2 linked regions of the Oryza sativa Japonica Group genome follow. The protein of the gene in region 2 interacts with the protein of the main gene of each other region in a pairwise test. Links are inferred from orthologs where the notes say so. Each region holds a gene or a part of one and is shown on either strand. Other genes may lie near its edges.

Region 1 (3,575 bases), about 2.6 Mb from region 2:
AGAGTATTAGACTTGTAGAGACTTGGAGAGGTAGGAACCAACACGAACACGAGTGGAGACGCTAAGCCCGATGCTGGCAACCTCGTGCTTAGGGATGTAAGTAGGTAATCCCGCTACCTGCATAAAAACCTGCTTGCTAGTTTATTTTTTTTATAGTAGTACAAAATTTAAAAAAAAGATAGACTAGAAGTGGGATAAGCGGGAAAAAAACCCGCTTGCCTGTCCCGCTTGCATCCCTGCTCCTGCTCAAGCGACGGCAACACGGCGAGATTAACCGAGGATCGGGGAATTCCCACAAACTAGCAAACCGTGTAACCTCGCGTCAACTTTTCCATCGGATCATAGAAGCCGAACTTTTCGCCATCGCAAAGCCCAAATCATCATCAGCTTGTTTCGGTTTCCAGTTTATTCGGCCAGAAATTTGGGCCGTAATCGATACTACCAAGGTTTGCCTATACTGTAGCTTTTCTTTTTCCAGCGCATATGACATGAGAACAAACTTACAGATACAAACTAGTATACTATTGTATAATTTTATTCATCGTTGTTTTGTACAAACAGCGACATGTAACCATATAAGCAGCAAGGACCGGTGAACACGATGGCAAGACATGTGGGTCCAGGCAGGTTTACAAGCATCACAGCATATATGTATATCAACTACTACCATAATACCTTCACATCACTTAGTCTGAAAGAAGACTTAATGTGCAAATCCTCTTCAGAGCCTCAGAGGCTAGTGCCACACCAGAAGCAGGATGAGTGTGCCACTCGCCGGTCACCGCTATGCCCGTTTCACCACATGCAGCTGCCGCTGCGGCGCAGCTGGCTGCCACCCCTATTTGCATTCATCTTCTCCTTGGACTGCTCCATCATTTTCTCAACCAGCTGAAAAATCACAGGAACACGACATATTTCCATGAGCATATATACACACACAAATAAATGAATAACAAATATGTATTTAATAATTTCACAAAACGATGAGCACTATGCGGAATGGGGATTGCCACATGGGAGAGGACAATACCATTTGCTTCTTTGTCAGTAGAACCGTCTTCTGTAAAAGGAAGATAATATAGACATTGTATATTTATCAGTTCAATGTTACAGAAAAGGAAGGAACGAGACTGTTTAGGAATGACAATGAAAGCTGAGTGGATAATGTTTCTTGCTTTAATACCTCTGCCTCTTTGAGACGAGCGTTCTCCTGCTTGAGATAGTTCAGTTCAGCTTCGAGCTCCACCGTATAAGCCTGTAGCATTATTCATAAAAATTTCAATCTCCATGCAAAATGTCTTAACGATACATAGAAACTAAAAGGTTCGGAGCAACATGTGTACCTGCTTTCTAGCACGGGACCGTGCAGCTGACTCACGGTTCTTGATCATGCGCCGTTGGCGGCGCTCCACCGTCTTCTCGGCGCAGCCATCCTCTCTGTGGGGACGCTTTCTTGTTCCATTCTCAATCATCATCCCATTCCCAATACAATTCATCATATCAGCATGTGTCATGGCACTCATCCCATCTGATGATCCAGGACTCACGACAACCATGGCACCTTGGGCGGGAGGTGGCGGTGGCACAATCGCCATCCCGTTGTACCCACCGGGGTACCCCATGCCATCACCCATCACCGGATACATGGCGTTTACCGGTCCTACTGGGAACATCATAGGACCGCCTTGGCCCTGCTGCATGGGGTTCACCGGCCCGTTGACCATGCCAGATCCCATGGCCGCTTGCCCGGTAAAGGACCCTCGGACCACCCCGGCCTTTACCAAGAAATCCTCAAGTGTCATCTCACCTAGTGTTACCTGTCGGTCGTTAGCTGCAACACCACCGCTCCCGGCATGTGGCTGGAGCGCGGAGGCCGGAGCGGAGGTGTGTGCAGGGGCTTGGTTGATCTCAGTCCACACCTCCTCCACCGTCTTCTGGCACAGCGGTAGCGGCAAGGAAAATGATCCCTGCCGACATAAACCGCTTCCTCCTGCATCACCGCTTCCGCTTCCACTGTCTACCACCTTGGCTTCCTCCATGGCACCCTTGCAACCTCCGGTGGTAGCCTGGAATTCTTCAGCATTCCATATGTTAGCCACAAACTCGTCCATGTTCATGGAACCAAAGTTGCGTCCTGGCTCACACAAGGAGTTTTGTAGCTCTTCCAAGGTGAGGGAGAGGATTGACGACTGCCGCGCCAGTGGAGCAATTTCCTCCTCCCCACCTACTTTTGTACCACCACTTTGGTCACGCTCCTGTGATGTAACCTCTTGATCATCGGTGACCTTCACGTTCTTGCTCATCTCCGATGCCATCTCACTATAACACTCAATTTGTAAAGTTCTATTAAATTTTCTAGGTGTGTCCCTTCAGCTATGGATGCCACCCCTTTTTATAGCCTGTGATGCAAAAACGAAGTTGGCTGTTAGAACATAGAAGAGGGTTGAAAGGTGTAACATGACTGCATCCAAAAAACTTAAGGTAGGTGTGTTGTTTGTCATATGTACTTTATTAAAAGAGTGTGCAACTGATGATGTGCTTGGCTTGAAGTTCTAGGCGATTACGTATGGATGGTAGATAACCAGATAAGCACTCCCAAGTTTGGAAGTTGGCTTATGCCTTATTTTCTTGATGAATCTTTCATACTGCTTTATTTTAACATAGATGATATGGAAAAAATGTGTTGCTCACATGAATGCTACATATATGGATGCCTTGAATGCATAGAGAACGTTACTGGCATAATTTGCGTAGGGCGAAATTACTCTCACCATAATTCACACGGTGTTGAAGGTTTTCAGGCATAGCATCATTCGGATGGAGGTATACCTTGGACTCACCCTCTTTTTTTCTGGACTTCAAGACACTGATGAGGTACTAATATAAATATAATTACACTATCATTTAACGTTTGCTGGCCATTTGACTAGACATCTGAAATAGCTGAAGTGGGTATTAGTTTAAAGTGCTTGCTTCATACAAAGTGTATTGGGTTCAAATACTTGGTCAAGTGCATTGAATTGTTGGTCTTGTTTGGTATTGCTAAACTGTCGCAAGTATACTCCCTCCAGTCATGAAAATGTATCATTTTTTAAAATTGGCACAATTTACAAAAATCAACTTTGACTACTTATTTTCTTTGTATAATTGAAAAATCTAGTACATATAATAATATGATTTTCTTGTGACCAACCGAAATAGTACTGAGATGTCGCATTATATTTTTCTAAAGATTAACGATGTACATCCAAAAGTCACACTATGGGACTATAGGTATATGACACAACTAGAGATAGGTTTGCCAGGTAATTCATAAAAAAATATATGCATACATTTTGCTAGCTTGAAAGTTGGATATTGACAATATTGCTGGTCTTTCAAACAATATTTATAACAGAAGTAATTAACAATCATCATTGTAGAAAAAAAATGATATTTTTATATTTTGTTGTACGGAGTGGCATAACACCAGAGCACTACTTTTAAAGATGAAGATAGAGATTTCGTCATCTTTGGCTGCAAGGACGAAGTTTTGGTTGAACCAAGCCATAGGAGATGACGGGCGGCACCAGCAC
Region 2 (4,012 bases):
CTATTCACCTGTGTTTTCGAGAAGATACATCCTGCTTTTGTTGTTGGGCCAAAACCTGTGTTCATGAAAATCAATATCCATTAATGTCAGTGAATCAAAATCTAAGCCATCATGTATTCGAATAACTTGTGCATATATAATATTGCCAATGGAAATAATTAAATTAATTAATCAAAAACATGAGCTCAGCAGAACCAGCAAAAATCATATGCATAATGTTAGTACTGAAAACAGCAGGAAAAGATCACTTTTATTTTTTTGTTGTATGCACTTGAGCATCAACATAGAACACGATGAATGCATGCTCCTATTTGACTCCCAGATTCCAATGATATGTTCGTATGACCCACTTGCCCAATTGGGAAAGGGACCATCCCATAGTCATTTACTATTTCTGGTTCAGAGGTTTCTATCCCCTCCCAATTAACAAAGAAGCAAGTGGACTTAAACAAGCTTAATAAGCAATCCCAAATCATGCTTGATGCTTCGATCGAATGTTGATTACTCACCGGTACCGCATGTTCCACACCTGAGACGTCCCGATGTCTTCCATGGGGATGGAGACACCATCCCTCGTCTTCAGCTCCGGCAGGTGAACCTCTGCTTCCTTCTGAAACCATCCACAGATCAAGAAAGGGGAGACTTTTTAGTTCTACCATGATCGGAAATGTGAAGAGAAGGTTCAGGCAAATTCCGTCTTTGATTAGGGGAGAAACATCAAGTATGTGAGTGTGTGCAAGTGGGATCCTTCCATGGAATGGATTTGTGCCAAGTGGGGTAGTGGATTTGGAAGGAGAAGGTGTTCGAGATGGTGGTGACTGTCTCACTTTGGGGAGCACGATGCGGCCGAGGCTCCCGACGTCGCTCTGCTTCAGCACCTTCTGCAGCAGGAACCGCAGGTTCTTGTCCGTCTTCGCCTGCAGCAATCCAATCGATGCCGTTTAATTAGCTAGGTTGATAAATATTGGAGATTCTATCCCTGGACAGCGATGTGAGTGAGTGAGTTTTGAGTGTGTGGAGTGTGTGTGAGGAGGAGAATCGAGTTCTCACTCGCGTGAGATCCTAGCTATGGTGGATAGCGATTGATGTCAATCGTCTGCATGCATGCACACCTGCCGCTTCTCTGAAGCCGTCGAGCGCTGAAGGCTCTCCGCTCCGGCCGTCGCCGCCGCCTGCGGCTTCGGCTTCGGTTTCTCCGGCGAGGGTTTCGGCTGCTTCGACGTGGCGGGAGGAGGATTGGGCTTGTTTGATAGGGGATTCTGGATGATCTGGGCCGCCGGCGGCCAGATGCCCCAGCTCCGGCAGCCGGCCGACGACGGGGTGACCGGCGCCGAGTGCGCGGCGCGAGGGGAGGGCTCCTGTGGATGGCCGGAGATGTGGATCTGGCTCAGGTTGAGCTGCTGGCTACGTTGCTGCTGCAGGCAGGAGAGGCGGCGCTGCCTCGCCATCCGCTTCTTCCGGGCCTCCTTTGTCGAGGACGGCTCGACTCCGGCGAGGCGTGGAGAGCACATGGCGTGGCCGCCGGAGTACTGCCCGGGGAATCCGGCGGTGAACGGCGGTGGCACGACCGACGGCATGGTGTAGGAGCTCGTGGAGGAGACGGGGAACGGCGCGAATTGCTGCGGCCAGGCCATGTTCCCTCCGCCCGACGCATGCATGTCGCCCGCCGCCGCCGCGGTCGGCGGGGAGAACGGCTGGCTGCTCACGACCACGCTGCTCTTGCTGCAGCTCTGCTGGAAAGGGAACGGGCCGGCGGCGCCTGGGTACATGGCGTCGCCGCCGTACGCGGCTGGCGGCGTGAAGGCCTGGTAGGGCATCCAGGATGTGGCGGCGGCGGAGCCCATCTCCTGGCCACCGGAGGGGAACTCGTAGCCGGGGTTTGCGCCGGGGCTGGGGAGCTGAGGGTCCGACGACGCGGCGCCGTCGTCAATCGCCGTGCGGGGGCGCTTCTTCTGGAGGTGGTGGTTCTGCACCCAGGTGAGGATGAGCTTGAGCAGCTGCATGGTGCCCTGGCGCCCGCCGCCGAGCCGCGCGGCCGCCGCCTCGATGGTGGATCGGCGGAGGCGGATGCTGCGGAGGTCGTCGGCGGAGATGTACTCACGGTTGCTCGTGAGCCACTCCATGAAGAACGCCGGCAGATCGTCGGGCGCATCACTCCCCTCCATGCATGCGTCGCCGGCGTCGTCTCCTCCCCCGGCCGCCTCCATCACCGCCTTCGTATCGCCGTCGCCGGTACAGTCGTCCGCCTGATGCGGTTGCCCGGACATGGCGTCCTCTATCATCATGCCAACGTCGTCCGGGAACAGCGGCTGCTCGGCCTCCCACGGGACGGACAGCGACGCGAGGTCGAGGAGCTGGTCTATGTCGGCGAGCTCACCAAACCCGTCCGCCGCCGAGGCCGGCTCGGACGGCTCACCGCCGCAACCCCCTCCCGCCGCGGTGGTGAAAGCGCTGGACGAGTTCGACGACGACGACGACGAGAAGGTTGAGCTTGACGGGGAAGAAAGGCACGGGAAGTCCGGGAGCAACGGGAAGGTATCGTCAGCGAAAAAGACGTCATCCCTCGCCGCCTCACCCCTGATCTCCGCCGCCGGGGCCTTCCCCCGTCCGCCGCCGCCGCCGCCGCCGCCACCCTGCTTCCCCGGGTTCCCGTGCGAGTGCGGCGCCGACGAGCCGGCGGAGGCGTCCATGCAGAGTGGAGGCGGGCGGGGGGCGGAGAGCGCGAGATGTAGGCGAGGCGGGGGGTTTGGCTTTGTTTGTCTGTGTGCGTGTAGGTGTGGAGGTGGGTGCAGTTACTGAGAAAGGAGACGAACAGGAGAAGCAGCGGGAGGTGGAGGGTGGGAGAGTAGAGAGAGAAGAGATGCGGCTGCGGCCCACACGTGGCGGCCGCCGAGGGCTGTGGGAAGCGCTCCACCGCCCACGCCAGCCTCTCCTCAGCGACCGTACCTTTCGCCCCCCGCACGGCACGGCCACGTCCCACTGACCCGTGGGCCCCACATTTCCTCTGGGCCCACTTATCATTGCTGGGGGCTGCGTTTCTGGTGGGTGGGGTTCCCCTTTTTTTTCCTGAGTTGTAACGGTCAATGACAGTGGGGCCTACGTGTCAGTGGGAAGTACGGGATTTCGGCGCGTGCTGGTTTTGACCGCCGCGGCAGAGGGGGAGGGAGAGGAGCGTTCTTGCCTGTGGTCCAATGACATGTGGGACCCAAAAGGAAAACCATAGAGTGGTAGGGTCGTGTGCGCGTAGCGATTTATGCGCGCCGTAGGATGTCCGTGTCGCGTCCGCGCCGACTAAGGGGCTACGCGTCCGGTGTTTCCGAGCCGTCCGATCCGAACCACCGCGTGATCGAACGGACGCCATCTTCGGGAGGAGACCTGTGTGCTGTCTGGATTAGGAATATGGGGTGCGTTTTTTCTACGCGCACGTACGAAACCTACACGAGCTGGAGATGATGACGTGGAGGTGTGGGTCGCACCTTGGTTACGATGACGTGGGATTTTACCATTGGTTGCAGTGGAGGTGGCCCGTGTGAACACATGCAGCGAACGGCCCAGCTCGATCGATCACCAGCAGCCGGGAAGCGTAAGCGCTAAGCAGAGGCATGGCAATGCCATGGCATACGTGATCTTGTTCTGGCCGTTGCGTGTGGAACTGTGGGTGGAGCATTTGCTTTGTCTTGTTCGATCGGAGGATGCGGCTAGGTAGGATACATGTTTTGCAGGGGTAAGAGCAAATTTCCACTTTCTCTTTGCTTGTTTGCTTCGCAACAAATGCATTTGAAAATGACAGACAGGCCCCCAAAATCAGATTAAAAAATATGTTTTCTTTGGTGTCCTTAGTGATGAGGAGCACCCAAATAACCCATGCGACATCATCCAAGGATTTTATTTTTTTTTTGCAAGTTTGTACTTTAAAATGAGCCAATAAATCTATAATACACATTTACGACTACGTGTCCTTTTCAATATCCGTGGAATCAATTGATATATTGATTCATGGATGCAAACAAAA

The links.
Region 1: the proteins of B3 domain-containing protein VP1 (region 2) and bZIP transcription factor ABI5 homolog interact in a two-hybrid assay, tested with the Arabidopsis thaliana proteins (2 studies listed by BioGRID). The link is inferred for Oryza sativa Japonica Group from reciprocal best matches to the Arabidopsis thaliana genes ABI3 and ABI5.

The regions. Positions count from the first base shown.
Region 1 is NC_089035.1:37,800,300-37,803,874, reverse strand, and holds bZIP transcription factor ABI5 homolog, read right to left. Parts: upstream 2,364-3,575; 5' UTR 2,316-2,363; coding exon 1,344-2,315; intron 1,256-1,343; coding exon 1,184-1,255; intron 1,061-1,183; coding exon 1,031-1,060; intron 889-1,030; coding exon 796-888; 3' UTR 501-795; downstream 1-500. UniProt on the Arabidopsis thaliana protein: Participates in ABA-regulated gene expression during seed development and subsequent vegetative stage by acting as the major mediator of ABA repression of growth.
Region 2 is NC_089035.1:40,358,700-40,362,711, forward strand, and holds the start of B3 domain-containing protein VP1, read right to left. Parts: upstream 2,801-4,012; 5' UTR 2,691-2,800; coding exon 1,113-2,690; intron 918-1,112; coding exon 828-917; intron 611-827; coding exon of another isoform or gene 608-610; coding exon 510-607; intron 56-509; coding exon 9-55; intron 1-8. UniProt on the Arabidopsis thaliana protein: Participates in abscisic acid-regulated gene expression during seed development. Regulates the transcription of SGR1 and SGR2 that are involved in leaf and embryo degreening.